Linked DNA regions of Mus musculus. The protein of the gene in region 2 binds, or shares a complex with, the protein of the main gene of each other region. Links are inferred from orthologs where the notes say so. Each region holds a gene or a part of one and is shown on either strand. Other genes may lie near its edges. The genes, in order: Phf10, Smarca4, Smarcd2, Dpf1, Arid1b, Arid1a and Smarce1.

Region 1 (4,385 bases), on a different chromosome or scaffold from region 2:
GTACATAGTAAATTCAAGGACAGCCAGAGAAACATACTAAGACCCTGTCTCAAAAAAACAAAAACAAAAACAAAAACAAAAACTGGGGTAGGGGTGGAGAAATGGACAGAGAAGTAAATAGACATTTCTCCAAAAACATAAATCAAATGATCAAAGAGCACCTAAAAAATATTCGGCAAGCACCACTAGCCATGGTATACAACACAGAATCACAGTGGGTGATCACCTTATGTCTTTCTGGACGCCTATCAGCAAAATGAGCAAAAATAATGTTGCAAGGTGTATTGTTGGTGGAAATGCAGACTGGTACTACTGCTATGGAAATGTATGGAAGGTCCTTAAAAAGTCTGAAGACAGAATCAACGTGTGGTACAGCTTTCTACTTCTAGTTATATACCAGAGTATTAAGAACAGGGGTCTGAATGCCAGTGTTCACTTCAGCATTAACTACCCCAGCCTGCAGGTGAATGAGCACAATGTAGCAGAACATACGATGGAATATTGTTCAGACTTAAGGAGCTCCAACACGATGAACCTTGAAGATACTATGGTTATGGGTAAGCCAGATAACACGGGGCAGGTACTGTCTGGTTCATACTCAGGGCAGGAAGTAGAACTGTGGTAACCAGCAGCTGGAGGCAGGAAGGGATGGGAGGTACTGGAGGGTTAGGCAGTTTGAGTTACTAAAGTTTTGGAAAGGGCCGAGAGTGATGGTTGTACTGAAATATACTCTTTATATATAAAAAGTGTTACAATGGTGAGTTTTATATACCTACTTTACCATAACTTTTTAACAGTTATCAGGAGTGAGACCTACTTTGATAGTATATGACTTTTTTAGAAGATTTGTTTGTTTGCTCTCTATACAGACATTTGTGGAGGCCGGAATGGACCATGAGATCCTCCAGAGTTTACAGGAGCTTATGAGATGAGATGTGGGGCTGCTAACCAACCTCCAGTTAAGCAAGCACTCTTAACTTCTGAGCCATTTCTCCAGCCAACACATATAATTTTTAATAACTGTTTCTGCTGCCTGGAATAGGCAGGAGAAGAAGAAGTGAGCAAAAGTCTACGAAAGTTACTACTGAACCTTAAAGTACCTAAGATCTTGACTTGAAGTCTCACAACTTCTTGAGCTGTCTCCTGAGCCCATTCGCCTCCTTTTACATGGATGGGTCCCATCATTTGAGTTATCTTCATTATCATCCTGTACATTTAAATGATTAAAAAATTAGAAAATTTAAGAATGAATAAAACTAAAATCTGACCTTTAATCGAAATGAAATTAAATTTTCAACTGTATTTTAAATGTACTCTGCTTTCACTTTCTTACCAACTAGATTGTGTTCAAACATCTGCTTTTTAGTAGCCACACCACTTTAAAAATCAAAGCAAGCCTTCCTATTTGAGCTGGGAAATAAATACTAGTAAGTTTCATAGTACCCTTCAGCTTACAACTGGCCCCCCGGAGGCGCATTTTAATTAGCTACTTTGGAGATGAAGAAGGACTGGATACAGGTTACCACGTCTAACTACATTCCTTTTCTTCTGCGGCAGAAATTCAACACTTTGTGATAAACTCATAGGAGATATAGGTTGTTGAGCCATTCCATTAAGGAAATAAGTAATCAAATGTTTTAAAAACAATTCATTACGTTAATTAATAGGCTTAAACTCCTATTTTTTTTTTAAATCAAGGTACTATAGCTCCTAACACTACTACTCTTACTATAAATTTCAATAAAGGCCCACGGAAGGGAATGAAAAGGCAGCACAGGCTAGCATGCCAAGTCAGCATGGCACTGCGGGCTGCCAGAGAATCTTACTGAGCACTGCCCTCCACCAGCTGTGTGCTGCAAGCTTCTCCCCAGTCCTAAAGCCTAGGTGGCTGATGCAAGGATGCAGTGAAGTGATCACATAAGAGCCAGGTAGCACATAGCTGTCTGATATATGTTAACGTTGTGATTAGCAGTGACTTTATATTTCATTATGTCTCCAGCACCTAGGAATTTACTAAAATTACTTTCCAAATTAAAAAAGAACATAGAAATCATTCCCCTTTTCACTCTTCAAGAATGAAATCAAGTAGACTTAATATTCCCTTTTAAAGCTAACAATCAAGAAGTTGAAAGATAATTAAATTTCTTAGTATGTTTTTCACTGTATTCATGGTCCATACTGGCTTGACACCGTTAATTTTAAGCACTATTTTATTAATTTGTGGACATTTTAAGGATTTCTGTATGTCAATACTTTTACTTAAAAACAATGATCCTCTCGAAAAGAAACAATAACGGAAGTTGACACAGAGTTTACCAGCTCACAACTGTAGGAATCCTAAGGGCTACGTTCCAGGTAAGGCCCTCCCCTCCGCACCATCCTCGGTCAGGACAGGGAGCCAGCAGCCCCCTGCGAGCAGTCAGAGACCCCACCAGGGAGGACCGGCACGTGGCGGGGGCCACCTCGGCTGGCCGGGTCTGTGGGTGTGAAACCACGTTCTGCCAACTCGGGACCCCGAGCGCACGTCCCGCTCAGCGTCTCCCCGACTGAGATCCCCAAGGCCGCCAACTTTTCCGACTTTCCCAGGCTGGGGGCGCTTCGTCTCAAGCACTCTTCCCGAGTCCCCCGGTCCCAGCTATTCCCGGACAACTTCCCACCCCGCCGCGCAGGTCTCCCCGACGTCCGCGCCCACTGTCCGCCGCACTTGTTGCTCCAGGACCCGCCGCCCGGTCTCCTCTTCTCTCCCGAGCCCGGCCTGGGCCGCTGCCCCTTGGGCAGCGCGCTCCGCTCACCTTTGGGGACTGCGCTCCGGGGGAGGCCGGGTCGCTGTCGCACCGCCCCGGGGACAGCGCCGCCCCGGGCCCGGCCGCTGCCATCAGCCCAAGCGCCCCGCGCCTCCGTCGTCGTCGCCGCCTTCGCCTAGTCCCAGCGGCCGCCGCCGCCGCCGCTGCCGCCGCTGTCGCGCGGGCCGCCCGGCGCCCCGGCCCCGCCCCCTCCGCCCGCCCGCCCGGGGGCCGGCCCCTGCCGCCGCGCGCCCCGCGGCCCGCCAGCGCCACCGCCATGGCCGCCAGCGCGCTGCCGGCCGGGACCCGCACGCCGCTCACGTCAGCCGGCCGCAGCTGCGCGGCTCCGCCGGCCTCGGCCGGGGCCTTGCCGCCTTGCCGCCTTCACCCGGCGCGCCGCGCCCGGCCTGAGCTCCGCTGGCCAGCCACCGCCTCGGTCCCGGCCCCACCCGGGTTCCTGGCCGCCTGGCGAGCTCGCTGCCGCCCCTTCCCTGCGCCCCCGGCCCGGCCCTCCGCGTCAGCCGCGGCTCCGCGCCGCCCCGCCCCGCCGCGGTCCCGCCCCCTCCCCTCCTCCGCTGCGCGTCAGCCGGGGGTCCTCAGTCGGCGGTGCCTGCCTTGTCCCCACCTGGGTCCCTAGCCCCTCCCCTCAAAGATGTGTCTTCACCACGCTTGTTCTCCAATCCCTCCCCCGTACCCAGCTCCTCCCCTCAGCCCGGGGTCGCCACCACGCCGCCGTGTCCTCCCCACTCCCGATCATCAGCACCTTAGCTGAGGGTCCCTACCGCGCGGTATCCTCCCACCAACCCCACCCCTACCGGTCCCCAGCCCCTCCTCTCAGCCCGGGGTCTCCACAGCCGCGGCGACCTCCCCTTCTCCACCAGGGTCCTCGCTCCCTTCTGTAAATGAAGGATTAGTGTCCTCAGCCCACTTCCTCCTCTCTCGCAGCCCTTAGGGTCAACCACCCCAGGAGCTCCGCCTCCTCCCTCTTTGAGATCCCCTTCTCCTGAGTCCTTTCTGACTTCTCCACCCCACCTCTCCATCTTCACTCCACACACCCCAGGATCCCCAAGGCGCTCTTGGCTCATTTGTTCTACAACTGCTTCTCCTGTGACCTTGGCGTAGTGGCCCCCATGGCCACGGGAAAAGTCACAGCAGCACTCAGGTTGAACGGAACCCAGTCAGGCAAGGAGAACATAGGGAAGGTTCCCAAAATCATATGACAGAGTCAGCACAGTCACCTGCAGGACACAGGATTGGGAATTCCTGGAAATGGAAGCCAATTGTCCAATGGTGTTTGGACAGGATTTATATTGATGTTAGTGCTTAGACTTCGCCACAGGAAAGGCCGTACCCCACCCTTTGAAAAGAGCACCAGGAAGACAACAGGTCCAATGGACAAAGGCAAGGGGCAGAGAGGCAGGCCTACATCCCCCACCCCCCATCCCCTCCACTCCCCACAACACTTCCAAGAATGTAGGGGACCAAACCAGAAAAGGTGGTGGTGATCTAGCTCTTGGATTTTAGAATTCGAGTTCCCTTTCACAGCCACAGCTTCTAGCTCCAGAAAGTAAGCCCAGCACTTCTCTCCTCCTTTGAAATATA
Region 2 (3,956 bases):
AGGAATAAAAATATGATTGTTGGAAAAATAGCTCTCCTCAAGTCAGGGTGTGAGGTCACTTCCACTTTGAAAAGCATGAGGGAACCATGACCACTGTGGATTAGTGACCGCACTTCTCGTGGCTCCCAGGACAGGGAGAACATCAGGGAGGCAGTGACACTAAGATAGGAACTATCTGCTTTCCTCTACCAATGCATTTACCTGGTGGGGATTCCAGTCACTGTCAAAGATGATCACAGTGTCAGCTGACTGCAGATTCAGGCCCAGCCCCCCAGCACGGGTACTGAGCAGGAAAATGAAATACTCAGAGCCAGGTTCATTAAAGGTTTTCAACAGCATGCCCCGGTCTTCTGCTTTTGTGGTTCCTGATAGGCACAGGAGAAGAGGGTTAGGAGGGTGACAGGGGTGGTGTTGCAGGTCACAAGAGCCACAGATATACTCTATAGATTGTAAAGGGTTAACCAGACAGCGACTTGGAGGTACAGCCTGTCATTACCAAATGCTGCCATACTCAGGAGATTTTAAAAAAAGGAAGGAGGGGGGGTGGGGACAAGACCAGCTGATTCCTGTAGGACACAAGCCACTGGAAGAAGAAGATGCTGGCAGGCTCTTGGGCTGCCATCTCTAGGTGCAATGCTTCCTGACACTTGTTCCCTCTGTTCTTTATGAGGAGAGACACCACATAGCTAAGAAGGCTGATGCCATACTCTGACAAGGAACACAGCATTAGTGGCATAGTGTGATGAGATGAACCACTAGCCACAGCCTTGGCATGTACCCTTAATTCTCTTGCAGTAACTTTGGTTAGCGTAGAGAAAAATCTATACATAAGAGCTGTAACCACTGAAGCCTTCCTTGGACTCCTAGCTCACAGGGGGCTAATAGGCCTACACCTCATACTTGCCACACAGTGTTCCTTGACCTTCTGCCCACTCCTTGAGCAGTCTTAACACCGCATGCAACACTCACAGCAGAAACCAACAGATAAAAGTCCTTAGGCTCCTACTTGAGCAGACAGGGATCTGCATAAAGTAGGACCTGGTGCTTACAAGGACAAAGGAGGCAGCTAGAGGTCCAGCCATTTGGACCTCAGCAGTGTTTGGCCAGCACTGAGCTATGTGAACATTCAGAACGGGATGGTGGTTTAGCAAAGGTGGTCCTGGAGCACCTAAGGAGGGGCTGGGGCCAGATGGATGTATGGGAGTTCTGGTCAGCACATTCTAGATGAAGCTCCATAGAATCATACAAAAAGATGAAGCAATCAAGTTCAGGTTGTAAGACGCTGAAGCATCTTTAAAATGCAGTATAAAATGAAAAGGTCCAGGGCACAGAGAGATGGGACAGGAGAGGCAGAGGTCTAGAGTAAGGCACTCCCAGCTTCTGAGCCCAATAAAGGCTCTGCAAGGAAAACAGAAAGCTGATAAGTCTTGTTGGTTCTGAGGTCCTCCATTGTGTCTTCCCAGGATGACAATGTGGGACACTAACTCCAGGGCTTCCCAATCATTTGTTCTGTTAACAATGCTGGCCTTTTCCTCCCTGAAGTACTTTGTGGAAAGTAGGGAAGGTGGAAAGACATACTCTGGCAACTGGTACACAGAGCCTCCCAGGCAGTGCAGGACCTTGCCTGCAAGCGGGCTAGGGTCCCACGGCAAGTGAGCATCATTCAGCTCTGGGCCAGGCCTGTTACGGGACACGGCAAGGTAGCTGGCTGGGAGTCGGGGAAAGCTTTGTTTCTGTTGCTAACACTGAGCAGTAGCAGAGTCTATCTAAGGATGAGGCCCAGAGTACAGGAGAACTTCATGGAGATGCAGCTCTACCGGAGCAGAGAACTCTCAAGGTTCCACATTGGCAGGGCTCTTATGTTCACGCACACATGATAACTTTGTGTAACTTAAGCGGAAATGGCAGTCAGAACCCACACTACAGAATACAGCACTGCAGTGAAGACTCTAGCAAACAGGAGACTAAACACCTTCAGGCCCTCCTTCAGGTTCCTGACAGTTAGGATGTCCTCAGATTCAGGGTATACTCTGGACTTCAAGTCCATATAACCAGGTCAGGAATGAGTATCTCCAGCAAACTGCCCTCTACTCACCATCAAGCCTGAGGTATTTGAAGCCACGGTATGCAAAGTAGTCTTCCATGATGGTCATGAGGGAGGTCATTTGGCAAAAGAGGAGCACTTTATGGTTCGTTGCACGGAGTTTGGGTAGAATTCTATCAAGAAGTTCAAATTTCCCTGAGGCACGGTAAAGGTCCAATCTAGTCCACGGAGGGAAGAAGGGAAACATTCAGTCCTCAGTCACACGCCTGTGAGCTCAGAGATGCGTGCTGCATCTAGGCTGCTGGGCAGATTCAAGGAAAGAAGTGGCTTCCCGAGCAAGGCCACCCACTGCTACAGCTGAACTCTGGTCACTGTTAGTCAGAGTACATTACCAATGACTACATATGTCCATGTCATTTCACCAGGTCACAAGGAGAATAAAAAAAGTGCGATCAGACATGACGCCCAGTGGGCTGGGGAGTTGGCTCAGTATTGGGTGAAGTATTTGTCCTGTAAGCTCACTGACCTGAGTTCAGTCCCTAGAACCTACGTAAAGGTAGAAAGAGAGGAACGGTTCTACAGAGGGGCAGTGCTGAGCTGGAGCTGCTTTGAGGATGGTGGGTCTGCTACCATAACATTAGAACAGCTCACACTAGGAACAGACTATAGACTAAAGAATCCTGTGTACCACAGTGAAGCACTTGTCTAGAATAGTGAGGCCCTGGGCCCAATCTCCAGTGCAGCAAAAAGCACTGTCACCCTCCTAATTAAATGCCATGCCCTTACAGGTAAAAACCGGGGCTGGAAATGTAGCTTCAACTTCAAGAATGTCTAAAAGAGGAAAATGGTGATATTCTAGAGATGGCATCCATGGCCAACACCACTGACTTCTATAAGTGTGGTCTGGCATCACACACCTATGGTCCTGGCACGTGGAAGGTTGAGGCACAAAGATTCCAATTGCTTCAGGAAGAAGATGATTAGCCACCCTGGGCTACATAGTTACATACATACCTAGCTCACACATTGAGACTGTGTCCCAACAACCCAAGAGAAAAGAAGTGGACCCCGCACTTGAAGCTGCAGGAAAGGTGCTCACAGGGTATCAAGGGCAGAGCGGGTGGATTGAAGCTCAGGGCTAACAGAGGCTGCTTAGCATTACACTGTGGGCAGTGGAGTTTAGGTCTGGAGGCCTCAGATAGCAGATAAATGCTAATCACAGCAACAAAGCCACTGAACAAGACTATAACCCCCCTAGCAGACTGCTACCCACTCTCAAGAGCTGGGAAGCTTCTCACCCTTGCACGATGCCGCCGGTGAACCCCAAGTGCTCAGAAAAGGACTCCTGCAACAGGACAAGAGATGGATCAGTGCCAAGGCAGGGAGGGACTGCCCAGTCAAGCCCATGGTCCAGGCAGCTACTGCAGAGGACTGAGAGGTCACACTGGTAGTTATCTGTGGCCTGCAGGGCACAGAGTCCAGATGTGGATGTCCAGCTTGGACTCAGTGCACCAATGCCAACCCTCATGCTCTTCCTGTGAAGGATGGGAAGAAGACTATGTGATATTAGGCACCAACGTCAACACCTCAGACCACCCTGAAATGGAACGCTAAGGACTCAGAGGTCTTGAGTGACCCTGAAACTGTACACTAAGAATACTAACACATGCTTGCTTTTTAGGCAAGAGTCGAGATTCTCCAAAAGCACAGTTACTCATGATGACCGTGGCTGTGGTCACAGACCTGACTGATGTCTGTCCATCAGCACTTCATAACCTGCAGGTAAGAAGCCCTGACAGAGACACGTGTAACCTCAGGAGTGGGAACACTTCCCAAGGGAGGAGTCCCCAAACACGCAGAAAATACCTACAAGGTGACTGTTTTTTAAAGATGTATTTATTATGTATACAGT
Region 3 (4,632 bases), on a different chromosome or scaffold from region 2:
CTCTCTGCCCAGGAGGTCTAGTTCTTAGGTAACTGAGCCTTCACTCTGCCCAGACAGTCTTAGGTAACTGATCCAGACCTTACTTTTCATATAAGTAATTCATGCTGGCTTTGGTCTCGAGACCCTGCTTCCCTGACATTTTTGGGACCTGCTACCATCTCTGAAAGCTCAAAAGCTTTGTGGCACACAAGTGAGATCAACCCACCTACAGGACAACTCTTTATTGGACAAGTTAACAAAAGCAGTTTAGTCAAAAGACCAAAGCCTATGTCATCTTTGGCCAGCCTGGTCTACAGACCTAGTTCCAGGACATCCAGGGCTGCACAAAGAAATCCTATCTTGAAAAACCAAAAAAGAAATACAGAATCTTGTACCCTGCCCCCATTTCATTGAACCATAAACCACATTTTAACAAAAAGCTCGGCTTTCTTCTGATATAGGGTCTCCTGTAGAATCAACTGGTGATGCAGCTGAGAACCATCCTGAACTTCTGGCCCACCTGCCTCCTCCTGTGTGCTGGGATTTTGAGGATGCACCACCATGTAGTTGATGCAGTCTGGGGTTCAAGCCCAGGGCTTTGTGCACGCTATAACCTGAGTTACACCCCCAACCTGATTCTGAGGATTTTCAGTGCCTAGTTAAGTAGCACTATTCTATACCGTGGGTAGGAGATACCACATTGACAGAGGGTAGGTCTATAACATAGCCGAAGCCAGTGGTTTCTGAAAAGGTTCTCAACTTTTCTTTTCTTTTTTGGTTTTTCGAGACGGGGTTTCTCTGTGTAGTCCTGACTGTCCTAAAACTCACTTTGTAGACCAGGCTGGCCTTGAACTCAGAAATCCACCTGCCTCCGCCTCCCAAGTGCTGGGATTAAAGGCGTTTGCCACCACGCCCGGCTGATTCTCAACTTTTCAAAACTAAGTCCTATACAAACTGGATAAAACTTATTTCAGTACCTGGAGTTCTCTCAGCATGCAAAATCCCTTCACCTAAAAACATTTTCTGCGAATTACCAGGCTTCCTTAAAGAAAGGCACGGGCAAGTTAGTGCAGTTAAGTACTCGGAGTTGGGCCAAGCCAAGCTTTCACTCAGCTGGGTCACGTCTGGGGCCGCCCATGTCCTTGGAAGCGCGGAGCAACCAATACAGGCTTCTGGGGGTAGATGGGTGGGTGGGTGTGGGGTGCCTTATGCCACCGGCCCCGAGATGGGCTCTTAAAAAGTGGTTGGCGGCTTTCCCGCCGCGGATCGCTTATTTTTAAGGCTTGAAGACGCAGAATTGACGGAACTGTTTTGGATGGGCCATATCGGGGATCTCGCCGAGGCAGCAGCACTACGGAGCAAACAGCAAACACCTAACAGTTCGGACGGCCCTACGCGACCTTCGAACTCTGACCCCACGCCTTTCTCCTCCGCGCTTCCGCGTGCAGCTTCCGCTCCCGCTCCTCCGGGAAAAGGCCGCCTCCCCCAAGGGCGGGGCTCTAAGGCCGTCAGTTATGGGAGGTGCTGGTTTGAGGCGGGTCTCGCGAGGGCGGGATTTAAAGAGGCATTCTCGATTGGGTTGCCGGGCAGGGGCGGGGCCTGCAGGGTCTAGGTTGGGCGGGGCTGGGAGTTCGTAACCGCCTCTGGGTAACTGGACTCCGGCGATCAAACCTCCGGAGGCCGGGAGAGGCCTGCGGGCTCGCGGCACATCCCGGATCTGGAGTATCCCTGGCAGGAGCGGAGTCAGAGGGGCCGCGGGATCCTAAAGCCGGGCTGCAAAGAACTTGCGAACTTGGAGTAGAAGATCCCGGAACCCGGTAGTAAAATCGGGAAGTCCCGGATCGCGGAACGTAGCTCGCGGAGCGGACTCAACACGGAGACCGGAGGCCGGATCGCTGCACCGCGGGACGGGACAGAGTGATGTCCGGCCGTGGCGCGGGCGGGTTCCCGCTGCCTCCGCTGAGCCCCGGCGGCGGCGCCGTTGCCGCGGCCCTTGGTGCGCCGCCTCCGCCTGCGGGACCCGGAATGCTGCCCAGCCCGGCGCTCAGGGGCCCGGGGCCTTCTGGAGGCATGGGGGTACCGGGGGCCGCCGCCTTCCGCCCCATGGGCCCCGCTGGCCCCGCGGCGCAGTACCAGGTGAGGAGGGCAGGCGAGCGGCGCCGCGAGGGCGCTGTGTCGGTCTCCCTGGGGCCTCAGGTGAGGACAGGCGGCCCAGGGGACACTGCAGGAGGAACTGTCGAGGGCTGGTGGCGGGCAGGCCAGAGTCCCTTGGTTAGTGGCTCGGGGTTGGAGGCAGTGTTGGGGAAAGGGTGAAAGCCCTCTGCGGTGGAGGGCTTGAGCAGTTAGAGGAGTCCCGGGGCTTCTTGGCTCCGAGTAACTTAGAGATGGAGGCTTCGTGAGATCTAGAGAATTGTGGGCAATCAGGTTGAAAGTGTAAGACAGGTCCCGGAGTGGAGGTGAGGGAGTGACCCGGGATGTGGTGAGGAAAATTTGGAAGAGGGTCGTTAGTGAGAAAACAGGGTTACTCTTTCTTTGGCCTCGGTCCCACTGCATCTCTGCCTTGGCTTTCTTTCTTTCTTTTTTTTTTTTTTTTTCTTCCTAGTTGGGAACTGGCAGAGCGTTAGTATGTCTGAGATGGCTCCCAGCTGCTCAAGTTGAGGAGGAAGGAAGCCAGGCTTCCTACGAAATGGGAGACTAAAGAGATTGGGCCCAGATAACTCCAGGATAGATTAGAAATAGCTGTGTCCAGGTCTGAAGAAGGCCCGATCCCATTAACAGACCATTCAAGATATCCTCTGTACGGGGCTTTCCTTCTTGATGCCAGTGTCCAGTAAAGTTTGGAGGAGCAGGGAGGCTTTGTGGAGTCCTGCTGGTCTTGGGCTGCACAGGGTACTGCCCTGACCCTTCTGTCTTGGCAGAGAGCTGTCTCAGGTTGCAGCATCAAAGGCCATTGACAAGCAGAGACAGGACCCGTGGTCAGTGCATTGGGAACTCAGCCTGATTCTGCATGTGGCGCTCCTCATTCCCCAGAGCTCTGGTTCAAGTGGCTCCAGAATGTTTGGGAATTTTGTTTTGCTTTTGCATTTTGGTGCTGAGCATGGAATCCAGGCAGGGCTTTGCACGTGGCAGACGATTGCTGTATCAGGGAGCTGCACCTCCTTTCCTGGGGATTGTGCCCATCCTTCTCCCACATCCTTGTCACTTTTGTTACTTGCTTTTTGATACAGGGTCTCATATAGTCCAGGCTGGCTGTGTAGCCAAAGCCCACCTTGAACTCTTTTCTCTCAAGTGTCTGGCATTACAGTCACACACTATCACGCCCAACCTCTCTTTCCTTATCCCTCAGGTTCCTGACAAGGCCATATGTCTCTCAACCTATGTGCCAGAGAGGTGAGAGGTGTGCACTGTAGCTTGCTCTGTCCCCTGCTGGTGTCTCTAGGTAGAAGTCTCAGAAATAGATCTTCATGATGTATGCATATTCCACCCAGGAATCAGATTTCTTTTTTTTTTTTTAAAGATTCATTTATTTATTATATGTAAGCACACTGTGGCTGTCTTCAGACACACCAGAAGAGGGCATCGGATTTCGTTACAGATGGTTGTGAGCCACCATGTGGTTGCTGGGATTTGAACTCGGGACCTTTGGAAGAGCAGTCGGCGCTCTTAATCACTGAGCCATCTCTCCAGCCCAGGAATCAGATACCCAGGAGATACCTAACTGGGGGTCGGAGTGGGGATAAGTGACCCCCTTCATTTCAACTCCTATCTAAAAAGAAAATGACGAGTTTGGGTATAAACAGAGATAGACGTGGTTCCAAGGATACTAGCGGGGTTTATCTTTCCCATGTGGCTTTCTTTGGAGATTCATGGGCCTAGTATATCACTGATGAGTCTCTGCGTCAGCCCTTGGCTCTGCTTGTTTAGAGCTGGTCTGGAAGCTTCCTACAGGCACTGGGGATGTCTGTTTGGTTGGTTGGTTTTCCAAGTCTCTCTATATAGTCCTGGCTGTCCTGTAACTCACTATGTAGACCCATTTCCTTGGAAAGCAGCTGATAGAGAACATGCCATTGGGAAAGCCCCTGTTGAAGACTGGAAGATGGATTCCTGCATATTTTGTAGAGTAGCCTTGGGTCTATGCTGAGGCCAGGCTGGCCAGCCAAATGGCTGCGGCTGCTAGTTGTGAGAAAGGAGATAGCCTTGAATCTGGGCATCCCATACCAACTATGTTTCCTCTCCCCCTCCTCCTCCTCCTCCTCTTCCTCCTCCTCCTCCTCCTCTTCTTCTTCCTCTTCCTCCTCCAGGGAAAGGCAGGGGAAAGGAGGGAAGGAGAACCCAGTTAGCATTGGTTGAGTTTGAAGGAGATCCCGCTTGCTTCTTCCCATGTCCAACTTCCAGCAAGTCTTGGGATCTGAGGCCAGAGGGGCTCCTGGTTAGAGTTCTTGGGGTGAGCAGACTTGTGTGCTCAAGATGAGCATATTGGGGAGCCTGCTGAAGTAAATTGATAGCCCACCTAACTCTAGAGGCTTTTTCTAGTTTTGGAGTATAGTTACCCTGAAGAGCTTAACAAAACCTAGTGTGCATTATTGCAGGGTTCACTCAGCTCAGAGTTTAAAATACCTCTGTTCATAGGGTCAGGGTATGTCCTCCAAATGA
Region 4 (4,700 bases), on a different chromosome or scaffold from region 2:
TGGGGGTGGGGGCATGGTCCTTTCGACAGGGACAGGCTCTCCCACACTGTCCCACACACAGCCAACAATGGACAGAAGGATTCGACTCAAGCCCTGGAAAGAATATCCATACACTGGGAAGGCACAGCCACACCCTCAGCTCTACTAGATAAAGAAGACAGAACCAGACTCCAATACACTGGCAACCCTTAGGAACACTATGGACCCTCATAAATACCTGCATGCATAGTAGAAAGGCAACTAGACCCTCAGATATACCCAAAGAAAGTTAGATAGACATTTGAATAGGATACACACAGACACATAGGCAGGACATGCAGAGAGATGTCCGGCCACACAGGGAACACAGCTGACCTTTGAACACAGCTGGACACACAGAAGAGATAGGATTAAGCCCTTGGATACAGAGATACTCAGAAAGAAATAGCCAGAGCCACAGAGAAATCTAGACCTTCATTAATTAGGAAGACAAAGGTACGCCCTATGGTACACCTGGACACTCACAGACAACCCCGAGGAGAAGCACTCAAATGTGTCCACATGCTTACACAGAGAAACCCAGTCTGACATACAGGGAAAAACACAGCCGGCCAGCTCTCCAGCACCCTTGATACAAGGAGACCTTCACACACACACACATTTGGACAGAGGAAGAGATGAAACCAATGTCTGCCTATCCTGAACACATTGGAAAACTCCAGAAGAAACACCTAACACAGAAAGGCTGTCACAGATGGTACCCCAACAGGATGCCCTGATGGAATCAGATATGCACCCAAAAGAGATAGACAGACACGGACCTACCCCCCCCCCACACACACACACATTTTCCCACACATTTTCTCTCTTGGAAACACCTAGAAAGAAACAGGCACCCTAAAGCACTCAGCAACAAACAAGTCACAAGTAGACGCCCTGAGTGGCTCTCAACCTTCCTAAAAGTGTGACCCTAAATTTAATATAGTTCCTCATGTTGTGTTGACCCCCCCAGCCAGAAAATTATTTCGTTGCTACTTCATAACTGTAATTTTTTTATAGTTATACATCATAAATGTAAATATGTTGTGCATGGTCTCAACCCACAGCTGGAGAACTGTTGCTAACTCTTACAAATACACAGTGAGACAGCCCTCAGCACCCACAGAAAGAAACACAGTCAGACACAGGTGTATCCCAGCTCCCTGGGAAGCACATGCAATCAGCCTTGATACATCTAGACATAGATGACACCATGTCCTCCAAACACCTGCTTGCCATGACCCACATAGCAGGTACAGCTGGCAACTCAGTCACTCAAAGAAAGTAACTCAAGACATCCGGGGACAGATAGTCTGCTGGAGGGACACTCAGGATAATAAAGACGAAGTTCAGCCGGGGAGCAGGGAGGGCTGAAGGCCTTGATTGGGGCCACAGCAGGCGCAGGGGACACAGCTCCACCCACCGATCTTGTACTCGCAGGGCCGGAGCCTGGGGTCCTCCAGGATGTTGAGTCTCCGTTTCTTCCTCCAACAGCGGGCGGGGTAAGTGTAGATCTGTCCCGGGGCCAAACCTGGAGGAGAGAGGCTGTGAAAGTGAGGTCCCCGGACTCAGGCCCCGCCCCACCCCAGCCTCGCGGCGAGTACCAGGCCCGCGGTGGGTCTTCTCCATCCAGATGTAGCAGTTGTTCTGGGCCACTCCGGTCTGCGAGTCGAGGAAAGGCAGGCGCAGGCTGCGCTCGGCACACAGGCGCGCGTTGTAGCTGCGACAGTGCTCGATGGCCTCCCGGTAGAAGTCCTCGCCAAGGCTGTGGGGGCGGGCGAGCAGCGGGCGGGCGGCTGTCAGCAAGGGCTAGTGCAGGGAGGCCCAGCACCCTCCCGCGGCTGCCCGTTCCCACTGCTCCGCAAAGGGCAAGCCGGCCAGGTCCACCTTCACCTCCCCCATCTTCTCCCACCCCTCTGGATCCGGGGGCGGGGCAGGGTGCTGGCAGGGAAGCAGCTACCTAAAACTTGATTATGTCTCGGGTTAAGAAGTGTTCACAGACAATATAAAAACAAACCAAAACATACCGGGACCCATCCACACATGAACGTAGCCAAACACCCAATACAAACAAATCGCACATGGCCACACGGGATTCACACACAAAGAGAAACGTATCCCAATCTTCACAAAGGAGTAGCAAACAAATTCTCTCTGTCACACAGACACACATCTCTTGCAGAACACAAATAATCCAAATCAAAAAAAGCCATAGAACTACCTATGAATGTCATGTATCCAGAGACCCAGATGGTTCCAGAGACAGCTTATCCACAAAGACCCACAACATGGAAACACACCACACAACACTCATCCCAACAGTCACACAATGTCAAAAGATAGGGACCCTATAAACATTTACATATGCGCTTACATATCCATCCAAAGACACTCCAGCCAAACACACAATACAAAGACATCACTGAGATTTTCAAGGGTACACATACACAGAAACCCCAAATTTAAAATGCATCCCCAAATACACAGGTACACGCCTTGGAAACAGAGGGGCAGTCAGGTCTGCTCATGTTCACACAAAAATTTAGACCTATCCTCACACGTCCATATCCAAAGACACAGAACATAAATGGTGCAGATTCGCCAGACATGTGCACACACTTCGAGACCCAAATACTCAGATAGGTAGTGCAGAATAAAAGAAACCCTATACATACCCACACATTCAGCTACAAAGCAAAAAGCAATGTATAAGTCGCTCAACACACTCCACACCCCAAGACAAAGGTAGCGTGGATTCGAGTGTACCCAGGCCCCAGCTTCCCTAGACCATGTACCCTCTCTCAAACCCTGGCATCCCTGGGAGGGGACATGACCCCTTTCCCCTAAAAATCCTTGGAGACCCCTCCCCCACGCCCTCTCCCAGTCCTGGAGCAACGCGTCGGACATCATTCTTGCTAAACACCCTCAGTCACATACACTCGCACCCCCGCACGCGGTGACAGCCCCCTGACACCCCACCAGCCCCACCCCCAGCGGCCACACACATACACACGCGCGCGCGCGGCCGCACAGACCCGCCCGCGCCGACTCCCCCGCCTCGCGCCCACCCGCACCACCTCAGGGGGCTGGGGATGACCGTGGCCATCTTGCTCCCCGGGTCCTGCCCCCAGCAGGTCCCTGCCGGGTCGGTCCTCCCAGCGGTCGGGCGGGCGCTGAGGCCGCCCATCCATTCATTCCCAGGGGGCGGGAGCACGAGGATCTCAGCCAATCAGGATGGCAGGGCGGGCCGCCCAGGCCATGCCGGGAGTGGTAGTCCCTAGCGGGTCCTCCGACCCAGGGGGTGGGGTGGGGGAGGGATGGAGGATCTCGCAGTCGTTCACACACGCTCACTCACACGCACTTCCAGCCCCACGTGCACAGACGCATGCACGCACACACGCGCACATGGCAGCTTACACATAGTCACACTACACTCGCAGACTTCCATTCACCCCACCTTCACGCACAACCGGCCACAGGCGCGCGGGGACCTCGCAGGTGCCCACCCAGCTGTGTCACCAGCACGCCAAACGCCACCTAGCACTCCAAGCTGTAGAGAACCCATCGTGACTGAGAGATGACTCTCGCGGCCACCCCAGTCCACTCCTACGAAGGACTACAGAACTGCCTTCCTTCTTCCTGGCCTCAAATCCTCGCTTGTGGGACTTGGTGCGCATGACTTAAGCTAAGCGTTCTGGGCCTGTCTCAACGGACTGAAGATTACAATAGCAACAGGGTAAGTGACTGTTTTAGGGACAGCATCTTGCTGTTCAGCCCAAACTGGCCATTTTTCCTGTCTCTCCAAGTGCTGAAATTAGTGTGTGACGCCATACCAGGCAAGTGCTGGAATTAGTACCTGGCAGATACCTATAAATTCATTTATTCCACCGAGAAGATATCTACAAAGAGGATCTGATATGTACCAAGGCATAAAGTGGTTGCACTGTTATTAGGAAGAATAAATAGCCTGCCTTAGCAGGTGTTCAACAAATATTTGTTGAGTGAATACTTAACACTCACTATGTGCTTAACACAGCTCTCTCCAGGTTAAACCGGACTATCCTCATTTTCTAGAGAAGGGCTTTGAGATCCTGGGAGGAAACCTTACCTGTTCTCAGCCCCTGGCTGCTGTCTGGATATAGAATTCGTGTGCCTGCACACGTCCCTACAGGATCCTCCTTGCCTCCTTTTCTCTCCCACACTCTACCCTAAGAGATCCCCAGAGAATGAGCTGACCTACTGAATATCACACACACACACACACACACACACACACACACACACGACTCACACTCAGCCCCACCTCTGGGGAATAACTTAGCATTCTGATTAGAGTGGCAGCATAAATTAGCATATCAAGTGTTAATACAAAAAAAATTCTTGTCCAGCAGGGGGCGGTCCACCCATCATAAGTCTCAAGGTTTCCCGCACTTCACACACACAATACACCTCTAGACTGCTATAGCTCCCTTCCACAAATGTCCCCATCCACCCACCCACCCACCCATCTCAGGCGTCCCCCGGCACTGCAGGGTGTCTGATTTACGTCCTGCCCAGGAATAAATAAGGGGTGTGGGTACCCCTCACATAGTATCATCTCCAGACCATGCCATGATACGTCCAGTCTCCAGACCCAGTATTGAGCTCAGAGGGTCCTTGTCACAATCCTCTGCCACCCTCCA
Region 5 (4,469 bases), on a different chromosome or scaffold from region 2:
TAATTAAGAATCACCAATTATATAGCTTTCTTCTGATTTTTAGATAATTAAATATCAGTAAGAAATGTTATAGCATTTCAGAATACTGAAATCTTAATGCATTAAACTGTAAACTGGTAGGATTAAAATATATTCAATTAGATCTGTAAAAAGCAGACTTTTATAAAAAAGCTTGACGAAGCCCAAACTGGTCCAATCTTTGCATTAATTATTTCCCAATGCTCCTATTTTCAGTCCACAATTAAAGCCCACAATAAATGTAATGTTCATATTGTAAGATTTGTCATCGAAGACCCAAGTTTTATAAATGCCTAATACTGGACAACAGCATGTTTCTCTGTATTCAATCCTTTATTACTAACTATGATTCATAACAATTTAAGCTCTAAATAGTATTCAATCTTCCATGTGCTTGGAATAGAGTTCAGTTATTATTTGTGTCAGGAATTTTTGTGACTGTACTGCTCCGCACTTCTATTTACATCAGCAGTGCTAAATGCCCAATGGTGAGAGGGGAGCCAATCAGATGGCAGATTAGATGTCAACTCAGAGGCAGCTGTCTGGAGACTATTACAGCCAGTTTACCTCCACAATTCAAATTCCAAACCTTGCAAAGGAGAGATCAAGTCAGTCTTTAGGCTCAGCCTACTAGCAAGAAACAGCCAGAGCGCAAGACACTTCCTAACAACGCTGTTGGACTTGGGAGACAGCAAAATCAAGAAAATCCACTCAAATACGATCCACAACGACCCATTTTCTCTGGCCTACTACCTTACTAGGTTTGCTGAATAAAAAAGGAAAACCTAACCCATGATCAAAATAAGTTCCATCGATCCGGAATCTATTCCTTCAACATCGCCTCCCGGTTGAAGGTGACTCCTTCCAAGGAGCCCTTAGCCCCATAATGGATCTCTCCCCAGCTATTCTTAGGAACGAATCGATGTTATTTTACAATATTTCGCCTCCGCCCGTTGTAAATCTGGGTCTTATTCTTGCTGGTAAACATCCAAACTCCACCAGCCACGGCTGTCACAAAGCTAACCTCGGTTTTTGGGTTTTTTTTTTTTTTTTTTTTTGGTTTTTTTTTTCCCCCTGCCTCCTCCTCGCAAGGGGAATGGGAAACCGACCGAGGCCCGAAGAGAGAAAGTTCCTCTCTCCCCGCGCCCACTCAGGGCACACCGTGGGCGCCGGCGGAGTCAAGCCGGGCCCCGGAGCCCGCTGCCCCGAGAGCCCTCCCCGGGCGGGCGCGGCCTGGGGCACCGAGGTCCCGTCCCGGGCCTGGCACGGGAGCGCAGCGCGCAGCAAGGGCGCGGGACACCCCGGCTCCCCAGCCCCGCCAGCTCCGGCCCCGGCCCGGCGGCGCCGCGCCCCCGCCACCCCCGCCAACCGCCGGGAAAAGTACCCGGCGAAGAAAGAAAGTCGGGCTCGCGGCGCGAGGCCCGGGCGGAAGCAGGCCCGGCCGGGCGCGGGGGTTACCTGGGATCTGCCCATGGTCGGTCCGGGGGTGCCGGGGCTCATCGCCGGGTGACTCCTTTGTTGCGCGGCCGCCCAGGCCGGGCTGGCAGCGGCGTACTGGGCGCCTAGGTCCTTGCCCAAGCCCATGCCCGCGGCCGCCTGCTGGCCACCCGCCGCCGCCCCCGCCGCCGCCTGGGACTGGGGCTGCGACGGCGGCGGCGGCGCGCTGGAGCTGCTGTAGTCGGGGTAGCTACCGCCGTAGCTCCTCATCATGGGGCTGGGTGAGGTGAGCAGCTGGTTGAGGGTCGGTGTAGCCCCCGACGGGTGCTGGTTCTGGCCGGCGAAGCGCTGGAAGCCCCCCGCCGCCGCCGCCGCGCCGGCGGCCGCCTTGCTGAGGCTCGCGGCCCCGCCGCCCCCGGGGCCCATCATCATGCCGCCGCCCTGCTGCCGCGGGGAGCTCAGCACCCCGTACCCCGAGGACGAGCTCCCATAGCCGCCGCCACCGCCTCCTCCTGCTGCTGCTGCTGCTGCCGCCGCCGCCGCGGCCGCCGCCGCCACAGCTCCGGCTCCTGCTGCCGCTGCCGCTGCTCCTCCTGCTCCTCCTGCTCCTCCTCCTCCTCCACCTCCTCCGCTGCCTCCTCCTCCTCCGCCGCCGCCGCCGCCGCCGCCCGCGCCGGGCCGGCTGTAGCCCGGATAATGGTTGTACTGGCTGTTGGGGTACCCTTCGTGGGAGTTCTGCAGGGGGTCCATGCTGCTGGGGGCCCCGGCGGCGGCAGAGGCGGAGTGCATCATCCCCATCCCGGGGCTTTGTTGTCCGCCATGTTGATCAAAGCAAGGCCCAGCGCGGCCGCCGGGGCCGCCGCTAGCAGGGGCAGCGCTGCCATAGTAATTATTAAACTCCGAGACGGCCGCTGGGCCGCCGCCGCCCCCGGGCACGGCGACCGGCGCGGGCTGCTGCTGCGCGCCCAGGCCCGGGTGCTCATAGCGGCTGCCCGCCGGCTCCCCCATCTTGGGCGGCGCGTCGTCCTCGTCGCCCGGTTTGCTCAGCAGAGGCTGGCCCTGCGGGTCAGCCTGATTGCCCGCGACACTGTCCTTGGCGCCTCCATGTTGCGGCTGCTCCATGTCCGGGCCGGGCTGAGGCGCGCCGCCGCCCGCACCGCCCAGGCTGTTGTTGGCAGTGGGATGCTGCTGCTGCGGCGGTGGCGGCGGCTGCTGCTGCTGTGGCTGCGGCGGCTGCGGCTGCTGGAACTGGTTTAGCTGCTGCTGTAGTGCGTGGTGGTGGTGGAGGTGGTGGAGGTGGTGGGCATGGTGGTGGTGGTGGTGGTGGGCATGGTGGTGGTGGTGCTGCTGATGGGGCGGTGCAGCGGGGGCCTCGCCAACGGCTTTCAGTTTGTGGTTGGGGAGCAGCCCGGTCTCCATGGTCGAGCCGGGGCCCGCCGAGGAGGAAGAGGCCGCGACGGCGGCGGAGGAGGACAGCGCGGCGGCGCTTCCACCCTCCTTGAGAGCCGCCTCGGAGCGGCCGCTCTGCGCGCTGTTGGAGCTGGCGGCCGCCGCGGCGCTCGCGCTATGGGCCATGTTCAGGTCGTGACGGGGGTGCAGGGGGTGGTGGTGCACATTATTCAGGCCGCCGTCGCCGCCCCCCAGGATGGGGCCCGGAGCCGCCACCGCGCCGCGCGCGCCCGTCTCCAGGTCCCGGGCCCCGGGCGCCGGCCGCGGCCCCGAGGGCGCCCGCCGCTCGCCGCTGCCCGCCCGCGCCCGCGCCGCCGCTGCTGCCCGCGCGGCCATGATCGCCGCGGCGTGGCGCGGCCGGGCGGGGTGGGGGGAGACAATGTCCCCACTCGCAGCCGGCCGCCCCTCCTGCGCGCATCCACGCGGCCCGCGGGGAAGCGCGGTGCCCTCCCCACCCCACCCCCCGCAGCCCCGGGCCGCCCGCCGGGGGCGCGCCTTTGCGCTCGGGGGCTCGCGCCCGCTACGGCCTGAACGGGCGGAAAGTTTTTTAGTTCCGCTTGCAATGAAACTTTTCTCTCTCCCTCCCTCACTCTCGCTCGCTCTCTCTCTCTCTCTTTTTCCCCCCTCTCTAACCCGGATATGGGGGGGGGGGGGAAATGCACGACTTGCCTGAGCCTAATCGGGCCCAGCGCGGCGTGAGGGAGCCGAGCGAGCCGGAGCAACTATTATCCGCTTCTCTCCGAGGGCTGCTGCGCACTCGCAAAACGCGGACTGGACTCGGCCCCGGGCGCCGCCGCTGAGCGCACGTTCGCCCGCCAGCTCGCCCCGCTCACCCGGCTGGTCTCGCCCGGCCTGGCGCGGAGGGCCCGGCCCGGGGGAGCGAGGGGAGGGGGGGGGGAACCGGCTGCCGGCGCTCGGGGCCCGAAGCTGCTCGGTCCCCTCGTGCCTCCGGTCTCCCTGCCAACCCGCGCGCGGCCCTGTGTTTGTTTTCACGTCTAAAGGGAGCGGTACGAAGGTGGAAAACGAGTCTGAAGAGCAGACAAAAGAGGGAGAAGGGGCTGGGAAGCAAAGTTGTCTGTTGGGCCTCAGAGGTGGCGAGGAGCCGGTGGAGAAGAGAAACACTCAGGCAGGCCGGGCAAAAGCACTCGGTCTCTCTCAGGAGTTATGTAATTTTTCACAACCTTGGCCTCTGCGCCTGAATTTCAGGCCATCGGCTTAATTCCCACAACTTCATCCAACTGAGAAATTATGAAAGACTTAAGTGAAGGTTAAGCAGCAAAGACTGCTGTGCCGTGTACACAGCAGGCACTCAATAATTGCTTATGATTCACCACTCCGATCTAAGGTGGTGTTTATATAACTCTTTTTAAAGGCACCGGAAGTAGGTATGAAAACTCCTAGCGTTCCCCATGGAGTATTTTTCTTATAATGCGTTTGGGTGTCCTCGAGTGTGTAGTGTTAGCTCCACACAGCATTCAGGGGACGTTTAACCATTGGTGCAAAACCAGTGCCGGCTAAGGTTTATCTTGGGTCTTCATAAATCTAAGGACGACTTTCATCATATT
Region 6 (3,956 bases), on a different chromosome or scaffold from region 2:
GTGGCTCAATCTACCCCTTTCCATCTTTCACATGGTTCCCTCCATCCCAATATTCTGGATGTGGTTAAATCTGGCACAGTATTTACTAAAAGAAAGCCAAAGAATTTGGAGGATGGAAGAAATAAGCTGATTTCAGGTTTTTCTTCAAGGCTCTGTCTGCCATATGCTGGTGCCCTAGACAGCTTAGAAGCAATGAAGTCAGACTAGCCTGACTAATGGACCAGCCTTGGGGGTGCCTCTAGCCAGCTGGGGCTTGGTGGATGGACAACACAGAGGTTTATTTCAGGAACCCCGGAGGCATGGCGGGTAATGATGTCCCTCAAGTCCGGGCTCCTGGCAGAGAGCACGTGGGCGTTAGACACCATTAACATTCTACTGTATGATGACAACAGCATTATGACCTTCAACCTCAGCCAGGTGAGTACAGGTGTCTGGGCAAGGTGAGGGGGTACTGTTGATGTAGATAACACTATGGCACAGCAGGAACGAAGCCATTCTTGGCCCTTGTCACTGTGCTGGAGACCTTCTGTGCTTGCAGTGTTCGTGCCTTGACCCCACCCCACCCCCCACGTGGGGTTGGAATTGGAAGCAGTGCTGGCAACTCAGTTGTTGCTGCTTTCAAGACAGGGTTTCTCTTTAGCGAGCTGGTTGTCATGTCAGAGTTTTATTTGGGAGAAAGGGTTTCATTGTTCTTTAGGGTCTGTTGTTTTGAGACAGGGTTACAACGTTACCTGTATGGAGGCAGCCATAGAGTGTGTGGTGCTGCTTCTGCCCTCTTCTCTATAAAGTGCCATGCTCAGCGGGGGCTTTGCTTTCCTTTTATGAGAGAGGGTCTCTCCCTATCCCAACCCCTCAGTGCTGGGATTAAAGGTTCTGCACAGCTGGGGGAAACTTTGTTACTGGTAAGGATTAAGCAAGATGGCTCAGTGTGCAAAGGCACTTGGCACTGGAGCCTGTGTTCAGTTCCCATACATCAAAAGATAGAAAGATGACTTCAAAAATGATCTCCCCTCATCCCATAATGCTTCCTCTCATTCGTTTATTAATTTTTTTTCAAGGCAGCATTTCTGTGTTTAGCCCTGGCTATCCTGGAAGTCCTGTGGAGCAGGCTAGCCTCAAACTTGAGATCTCCCTGCCTTCTAAGTGCTGAGATAAAGGCGTGTGCCCAGACCACCGTGCTGCTTTCATTTCTTTTCTTTCTTTTTCTTCTTGTTTTCTTTAATTAAAAAGAACTTCAAGACTGGAAACTGGGATTGTCATTTAGATGGTAAAGTGCTTCCCTAACATGGTCATGGCCCAGAGATGGGCTTATATTATAGTACCATATAAATGAGGTGTAGTGGTGCACACATAATCCTAGCACTTGAGAGGTGTAGGTAGGAGATCAGAAGTTCAAAGTCATCTTTGGTTATATAGATAGTTTAGGACCAACGTGGGACACATGAGATCTTGTACGTTAAAAGAAATATGTATTACTATTATTATGGTGATGGCAGACTTACAGAAGATAGACCCTGGGGGACATATTTCCACTGCCTATGTCACTATTGCTGATTTGTTGATGGAGGAGCCGACTAAAGGATGCTTCGTTGGATTACTGTGCTCTTGCTTAATTACTGTTTTGTTTCACGTCATTTTTATAGGAGAGTTGAGTAAATGGGCTCAGAGTCATCTTGGTTTTCTGAAACACTTTCACTACTGTATCCCTGACTGGCTTAGAACATACTTTGTGTGGGTCCTGAACACAGAAATCCACCTGCCTCTGCCTCCCGAGTGCTGGGTCAAGTGCATGTACTAGCATGTCCAGGTCGTAGTCTTTTTGTTTTGTTTTGTTTTGTTTTTTTGTGTGTGTAGTTTTTTTTTTGTTTTGTTTTTTGTTTTTGTTTTTTTGTTTTTGTTTTTTGAGACAGGGTTTCTCTGTGTAGCCCTGGCTGTCCTGGAACTCACTTTGTAGACCAGGCTGACCTCGAACTCAGAAATCCGCCTGCCTCTGCCTCCCAAGTGCTGGGATTAAAGGCGTGCACCCTCTCCCTGGTCTCCCAAAACCTCAGATTCCGTTTTTTGACCATAGCTGGTCAGCACATTTCCATTCTGTGATAGTCTTGTCCACCAGAAAGTAAGGGATAGATTTTGCTCACTTCCTATATACCAGAACCAACTTTATAATGCTCAGGGATTTATCACCATTTCATACAACTAATTTCTGGGAAAAGCAGTATTCAAACCAAGATCTTTACAACTCTAATAATGAGGTGGATGGATGGATTTCGGGCAAGTGTTAATGTGACTAGAAACTAGTGGGGAATAGATGAGCATCTGTTGACAGTGCAGTGCAGTCCTTCTCTAGCTCGTGTTGGAAAGGGGTCATCCCAGCCTGCTGAAGACTTGGCCCCCATGTGGCCATGAGATAACAGAGGCCACTTTAGGTAAACGCTGGCAGTGACCAGATGCCTAGTGAAAAATACAACACACACTCAGAAAGAAGTGTTCGAAGAGGTTGGGTGTAACTGTCAGGGGAGGTATAGATTGTAGCTCACATTTCTGTCTTGCTGGAAGCAGGCTTATGTGACCATTGTTTGGGTCAAAGAAAAATTCTTGCCCTTCTTTACGAAGGAAATGGTTAGAGAACTGTAAAGAGCGGTGTGGTGGGGAAGCCTTTAGCATGGGACAGCTCTGCCTGGGAGAGAAAGGAGGGGGAGGAGAGGGGGGAGGGGAGAGAGAGAATAAATATGAATTGGATAAGATCTTGGGAACTCCTGTCAAGAATTCTTCCCTTCCTTTTTTTCTCTCTTTCAGCTCCCAGGCTTGCTAGAGCTCCTTGTGGAATATTTCCGTAGATGCCTAATTGAAATCTTTGGCATTTTAAAGGAGTATGAGGTAGGGGACCCAGGACAGAGAACATTACTAGACCCTGGGAGATTCACCAAGGTGTATAGTCCAGCCCATACAGAGGAAGAAGAGGAAGAACACCTTGATCCTAAACTGGAGGAGGAAGAGGAAGAAGGGGTTGGAAATGATGAGGAGATGGCCTTTTTGGGCAAGGACAAGCCATCTTCAGAGAATAATGAGGAGAAGCTAGTCAGTAAGTTTGACAAGCTTCCGGTAAAGATCGTGCAGAGGAATGACCCATTTGTGGTGGACTGCTCAGATAAGCTTGGGCGCGTGCAGGAGTTTGACAGTGGCCTGCTACACTGGCGGATTGGTGGTGGGGATACCACTGAGCATATCCAGACCCACTTTGAGAGCAAGATAGAGCTGCTGCCTTCCCGGCCTTATGTGCCCTGCCCAACGCCCCCTCGGAAACACCTCACAACAGTAGAGGGCACACCAGGGACAACGGAGCAGGAGGGCCCCCCGCCCGATGGCCTTCCAGAGAAAAGGATCACAGCCACCATGGATGACATGTTGTCTACCCGGTCTAGCACATTGACTGATGAGGGGGCAAAGAGTGCAGAGGCCACCAAGGAAAGCAGCAAGTTTCCATTTGGCATTAGCCCAGCACAGAGCCACCGGAACATCAAAATTTTAGAGGATGAACCCCATAGTAAGGATGAGACCCCACTGTGTACCCTTCTGGACTGGCAGGATTCCCTTGCTAAGCGCTGTGTCTGTGTCTCCAATACCATCCGGAGCCTGTCGTTTGTGCCAGGCAACGACTTTGAGATGTCCAAACACCCAGGGCTGCTGCTTATCCTGGGCAAGCTGATCCTGCTGCACCACAAGCACCCAGAGCGGAAGCAGGCACCACTAACTTATGAGAAGGAGGAGGAACAGGACCAAGGGGTGAGCTGTGACAAAGTGGAGTGGTGGTGGGACTGCTTGGAGATGCTCCGAGAAAACACGCTGGTCACCCTCGCCAACATCTCGGGGCAATTGGACCTATCCCCATATCCTGAGAGCATCTGCCTGCCTGTCCTGGACGGACTCCTACACTGGGCAGTTTGCCCTTCAGCTGA
Region 7 (3,191 bases), on a different chromosome or scaffold from region 2:
AATCTACTCAGCTTTCTCTCTAGCCTAGAATGTTAATAAGTTTAAAAATATTGATAGATAACACTGAAATATTTTCTGGAGACTTGGTTTAAACGTCACATTAAAAGGAAGCCAGAAGGGCTGGTGAGATGGCTCAGTGGGTAAGAGCACCCGACTGCTCTTCTGAAGGTCCAGAGTTCGAATCCCAGCAACCACATGGTGGCTCACAACCATCCGTAACAAGATCTGACTCCCTCTTCTGGTGTGTCTGAATACAGCTACAGTGTACTTACATATAATAATAAAATAAAAAAAAAAAAAAAAAAAAAAAAAAAGGAAGCCAGAAGCGAGAGGCAGCAGCAGCAGAAGCTTCAGCTACTCGGAGGCTGAGGCTAAGATTGCCCTCAGGAGTCTGAGGGCAGCCTGGACAACGCAGTACAGCAAGACCCTGCCTGAAGCACACAAAATAAAGGCACAGAAAGAAGCTGAGCCACTTTCTTAGGAAGCTGAATACAAGGTTCTGACATCTCCAATTTTTTCCTTCGGTTCCTCCTCCTCTTTCTTTTCCTTAAGCTAGAAGACGGACATCGGAGTAATAAACACCCTAAACATCCAGATGCTGTCAGAATAGACAGACCTCATTCGGGGCAGAACAGACTCAAGACTGAGAATATGGCCTGGCTGCAAGGTGAGCAAGGAACCACACTCTGATTTGCAAGCGTCTGCGGTAGCCACAAAAATGTGCTTCAGCCCCAAATTTATGGTTGGGAAAAAAAAAAAAAAAAACCCCAAAACCCCCCCAAAAACAAAACCAGGTTCACAAAACCAGAAAGGAGCCCAGACAATGCTGATTAAAACCAGACTGTCTGAAAAGATAACCTGCTGAGTTAAACAAATAGTGTATAAATGCATGGTAGAGATTCTCAAGTTTCATTAAACATTGCCAGGAGTTGCTGTTTGAGTACAGAGAGAGTATGCCCGTGTCCCTTTTACCAGCAATTGCTAGTGTCCCCTAACTACCTTTGACCTGCTCATGTTTATCCATTATCAGGGTCAATAGTGCCAACAGGCAAGGTGATCTCAAAAACGCCAAGGTTAACCAAAGTCATCAGTATTTGATCTAAGTTTTACCTTTCTTTTCTTAAAAACAAAAACCAACCCTGAACCATGAGGAATGCCTTTATTCAGGAAAACCAAACCATTGTTCTAGGGCGAGGTTGGTCGGCTACCAACATGTAAAGCTTAGACAGTCATCACTGTAGGCTTTGTGGGCCAGGAAGTCTGTCTCAAGTCCCAAACCATACACACACAGGTACAGATATGTATTATGCATACATGTACACATGTACATATACACATACGTCTATGTGCATGTATACGTGTATATATTCATGTACACACACACACTGCTGTCTCCTCAAAGCTGTCACATACAGTGTGGCAGTCAAACTTTACTTACAGAATTATGGAGTAAGACTTGGCTTACTGCTTTACTTTGCCCAATGCCATCTTAGGACAAAGACGACATATCTTGGGAACAATGTTATATTTTATGTAAGTAGTAGCCGTAAAGGTTAAAATATTATTGCCTATTATCCTATGTCAAATCCGCAGCAGAGTGCACTCATGGAGGCAGGTGTTGTTCAAATGAGGAGATGAGACAGAAGGCTCAGTAACGTCACTGTCAGCAACGGGCACACAGGCAGGACCCTCCACGTCTGTCTCTCTATCTGCAGAGCCACACCCACCCACCTGGGTACGACAGGAGCTCAGACAACAAGACTGACACCACTGGGCTGCACTGTGGAGCCAGCAACAGCAGCAGTGAATCTACTATGGAGAAAGAATAAGACTGGAGTGTCGCAGGGAATGACTGAAGGGTGCAGACTGTTGAAAGGCATCCAGGCAGGACAGCCAGAAGGCAGCTGTCAGGGCCCTCACCCCTCCTGGGTGTGGAGGAGGCGGTTACCTGTCTCCATCGGGATGCTCTCCTCATCTTTCTTCTCCTCGGCTTTGTTCGCCACTTGCTCTTCCTCAGGGGCCATGCTGCTCTGACTGCGCTCAGCCTGCTCTGCTGCCTCCTTCTCCCTCTCCTCTTGCCTCTTGCGGGCTTGTTCCTCCGCCTGTGCGATCTCAGCCGCAATCTTCTCCATGTCTACTTCCACCTTCAGACCACATAACTGGTTGTGAAGAACACATCAGTGAGCTCAGCATGTTTTCTTCCGAGAAACTCAGAATTAAGTAAGTTGTCTCCTGGCTTATGTAATAGTATTTACATAGGGAAAAGGAAAGCAATGGCTTGTCCTGAAGCGACGGGACAAAAGAGCTGATCTAGCCACCATCAGGCATGCAGGGGCAGGGGCTGCTGGGCCTTCTAGGACTCGGCTAGCCTCAGGACCTCCACTCACACCTCAGTTAGCAAACTTGGGATTTACTTATTTATTCAGTCATTGAATTTTTTGGCTTGTTTTGCTTTCTTGAGATATATTCTCTCTATGTAGTCTTGGAACTCACTATATAGACCAGGCTGACCTTGAAGTTGAATCCTGCTTCCTCTGCTTGGGATTAAAGGTGTGTGCCACCATGCCCAGCGAGACTTACTCAAAATGCAACTGAACTACATCTAATGAAGACATCTATGAATAAATTACAAAAAAGTGAAAATAAATTACAACTACAAAGATTTTAACAAAGCACTGGAGGGTTCTATTACCTGAGGGCCTAGTCTTTATATGTATACATGACACTGCTAATTTATTATAAAGATAGTAGAGTTTGTGCTGTGATGTTAGTATTGTTTCAAAGTGACCAACACTCAATAGAAACATTAAGAAAAATAGCAACTGGCGCATGATAAAGGTAGTCAGTGAATGGAACGGATACCCTTTTAAGTTCATTGTTAAAGGAGTCCGTGCTTTCCAGGAATTTCCTCTTCTTTTCCTGGTGTCGTTCCTCTATCTGAAGGAGCTCGGCTTCTAGTTTCCGCTGTAAGGTGTCAGACCAGATATGTATCGTTATGAGTTTTCTCTAAGGCAGATGTAAAGTGCAGAGAGCATGCCATTTAAAGATATTACTTTCAAGTGTAATTTGACATTTCCATCGTGTGTACGTGCGTGTGGGTACGCACACCAGCGCAGGAGCCCATGGAGCCCAGGAGAGGGCACCGAATGGCCTGGATCACAGATGGCTGTGAATCACCTTACATGGGTGCT

Evidence for each region.
Region 1: Smarca4 (region 2) and Phf10 share a complex: the UniProt entries of both Homo sapiens proteins name them as parts of the neural progenitors-specific chromatin remodeling complex. The link is inferred for Mus musculus from reciprocal best matches to the Homo sapiens genes SMARCA4 and PHF10.
Region 3: Smarca4 (region 2) and Smarcd2 share a complex: the UniProt entries of both Homo sapiens proteins name them as parts of the BAF complex. The link is inferred for Mus musculus from reciprocal best matches to the Homo sapiens genes SMARCA4 and SMARCD2.
Region 4: Smarca4 (region 2) and Dpf1 share a complex: the UniProt entries of both Homo sapiens proteins name them as parts of the neuron-specific chromatin remodeling complex. The link is inferred for Mus musculus from reciprocal best matches to the Homo sapiens genes SMARCA4 and DPF1.
Region 5: Smarca4 (region 2) and Arid1b share a complex: the UniProt entries of both Homo sapiens proteins name them as parts of the neuron-specific chromatin remodeling complex. The link is inferred for Mus musculus from reciprocal best matches to the Homo sapiens genes SMARCA4 and ARID1B.
Region 6: Smarca4 (region 2) and Arid1a share a complex: the UniProt entries of both Homo sapiens proteins name them as parts of the neuron-specific chromatin remodeling complex. The link is inferred for Mus musculus from reciprocal best matches to the Homo sapiens genes SMARCA4 and ARID1A.
Region 7: Smarca4 (region 2) and Smarce1 share a complex: the UniProt entries of both Homo sapiens proteins name them as parts of the BAF complex. The link is inferred for Mus musculus from reciprocal best matches to the Homo sapiens genes SMARCA4 and SMARCE1.

What each region holds. Positions count from the first base shown.
Region 1 is NC_000083.6:14,958,319-14,962,703, forward strand, and holds the start of Phf10 (PHD finger protein 10), read right to left. Parts: upstream 2,943-4,385; 5' UTR 2,877-2,942; coding exon 2,793-2,876; intron 1,208-2,792; coding exon 1,101-1,207; intron 1-1,100. UniProt on the Homo sapiens protein: Involved in transcription activity regulation by chromatin remodeling. Belongs to the neural progenitors-specific chromatin remodeling complex (npBAF complex) and is required for the proliferation of neural progenitors.
Region 2 is NC_000075.6:21,671,476-21,675,431, reverse strand, and holds part of Smarca4 (transcription activator BRG1), read right to left. Parts: intron 3,390-3,956; coding exon 3,343-3,389; intron 2,263-3,342; coding exon 2,096-2,262; intron 366-2,095; coding exon 202-365; intron 1-201. UniProt on the Homo sapiens protein: ATPase involved in transcriptional activation and repression of select genes by chromatin remodeling (alteration of DNA-nucleosome topology).
Region 3 is NC_000077.6:106,269,976-106,274,607, reverse strand, and holds the start of Smarcd2 (SWI/SNF-related matrix-associated actin-dependent regulator of chromatin subfamily D member 2), read left to right. Parts: upstream 1-1,635; 5' UTR 1,636-1,899; coding exon 1,900-2,115; coding exon of another isoform or gene 2,116-2,175; intron 2,176-4,632. Other genes in the region: Tcam1 (testicular cell adhesion molecule 1), read right to left, coding at 957-974. UniProt on the Homo sapiens protein: Involved in transcriptional activation and repression of select genes by chromatin remodeling (alteration of DNA-nucleosome topology).
Region 4 is NC_000073.6:29,306,494-29,311,193, reverse strand, and holds the start of Dpf1 (zinc finger protein neuro-d4), read right to left. Parts: upstream 3,125-4,700; coding exon 3,096-3,124; coding exon of another isoform or gene 3,028-3,095; intron 2,949-3,027; exon of another isoform or gene 2,702-2,948; coding exon of another isoform or gene 2,694-2,701; intron 1,784-2,693; coding exon 1,623-1,783; intron 1,550-1,622; coding exon 1,442-1,549; intron 1-1,441. UniProt on the Homo sapiens protein: May have an important role in developing neurons by participating in regulation of cell survival, possibly as a neurospecific transcription factor. Belongs to the neuron-specific chromatin remodeling complex (nBAF complex).
Region 5 is NC_000083.6:4,993,500-4,997,968, reverse strand, and holds the start of Arid1b (AT-rich interactive domain-containing protein 1B), read right to left. Parts: upstream 2,875-4,469; coding exon 1,477-2,874; intron 1,045-1,476; exon of another isoform or gene 1-1,044. UniProt on the Homo sapiens protein: Involved in transcriptional activation and repression of select genes by chromatin remodeling (alteration of DNA-nucleosome topology).
Region 6 is NC_000070.6:133,680,896-133,684,851, reverse strand, and holds part of Arid1a (AT-rich interactive domain-containing protein 1A), read left to right. Parts: intron 1-286; coding exon 287-417; intron 418-2,796; coding exon 2,797-3,956. UniProt on the Homo sapiens protein: Involved in transcriptional activation and repression of select genes by chromatin remodeling (alteration of DNA-nucleosome topology).
Region 7 is NC_000077.6:99,211,172-99,214,362, forward strand, and holds part of Smarce1 (SWI/SNF-related matrix-associated actin-dependent regulator of chromatin subfamily E member 1), read right to left. Parts: intron 2,965-3,191; coding exon 2,863-2,964; intron 2,160-2,862; coding exon 1,949-2,159; intron 1-1,948. UniProt on the Homo sapiens protein: Involved in transcriptional activation and repression of select genes by chromatin remodeling (alteration of DNA-nucleosome topology).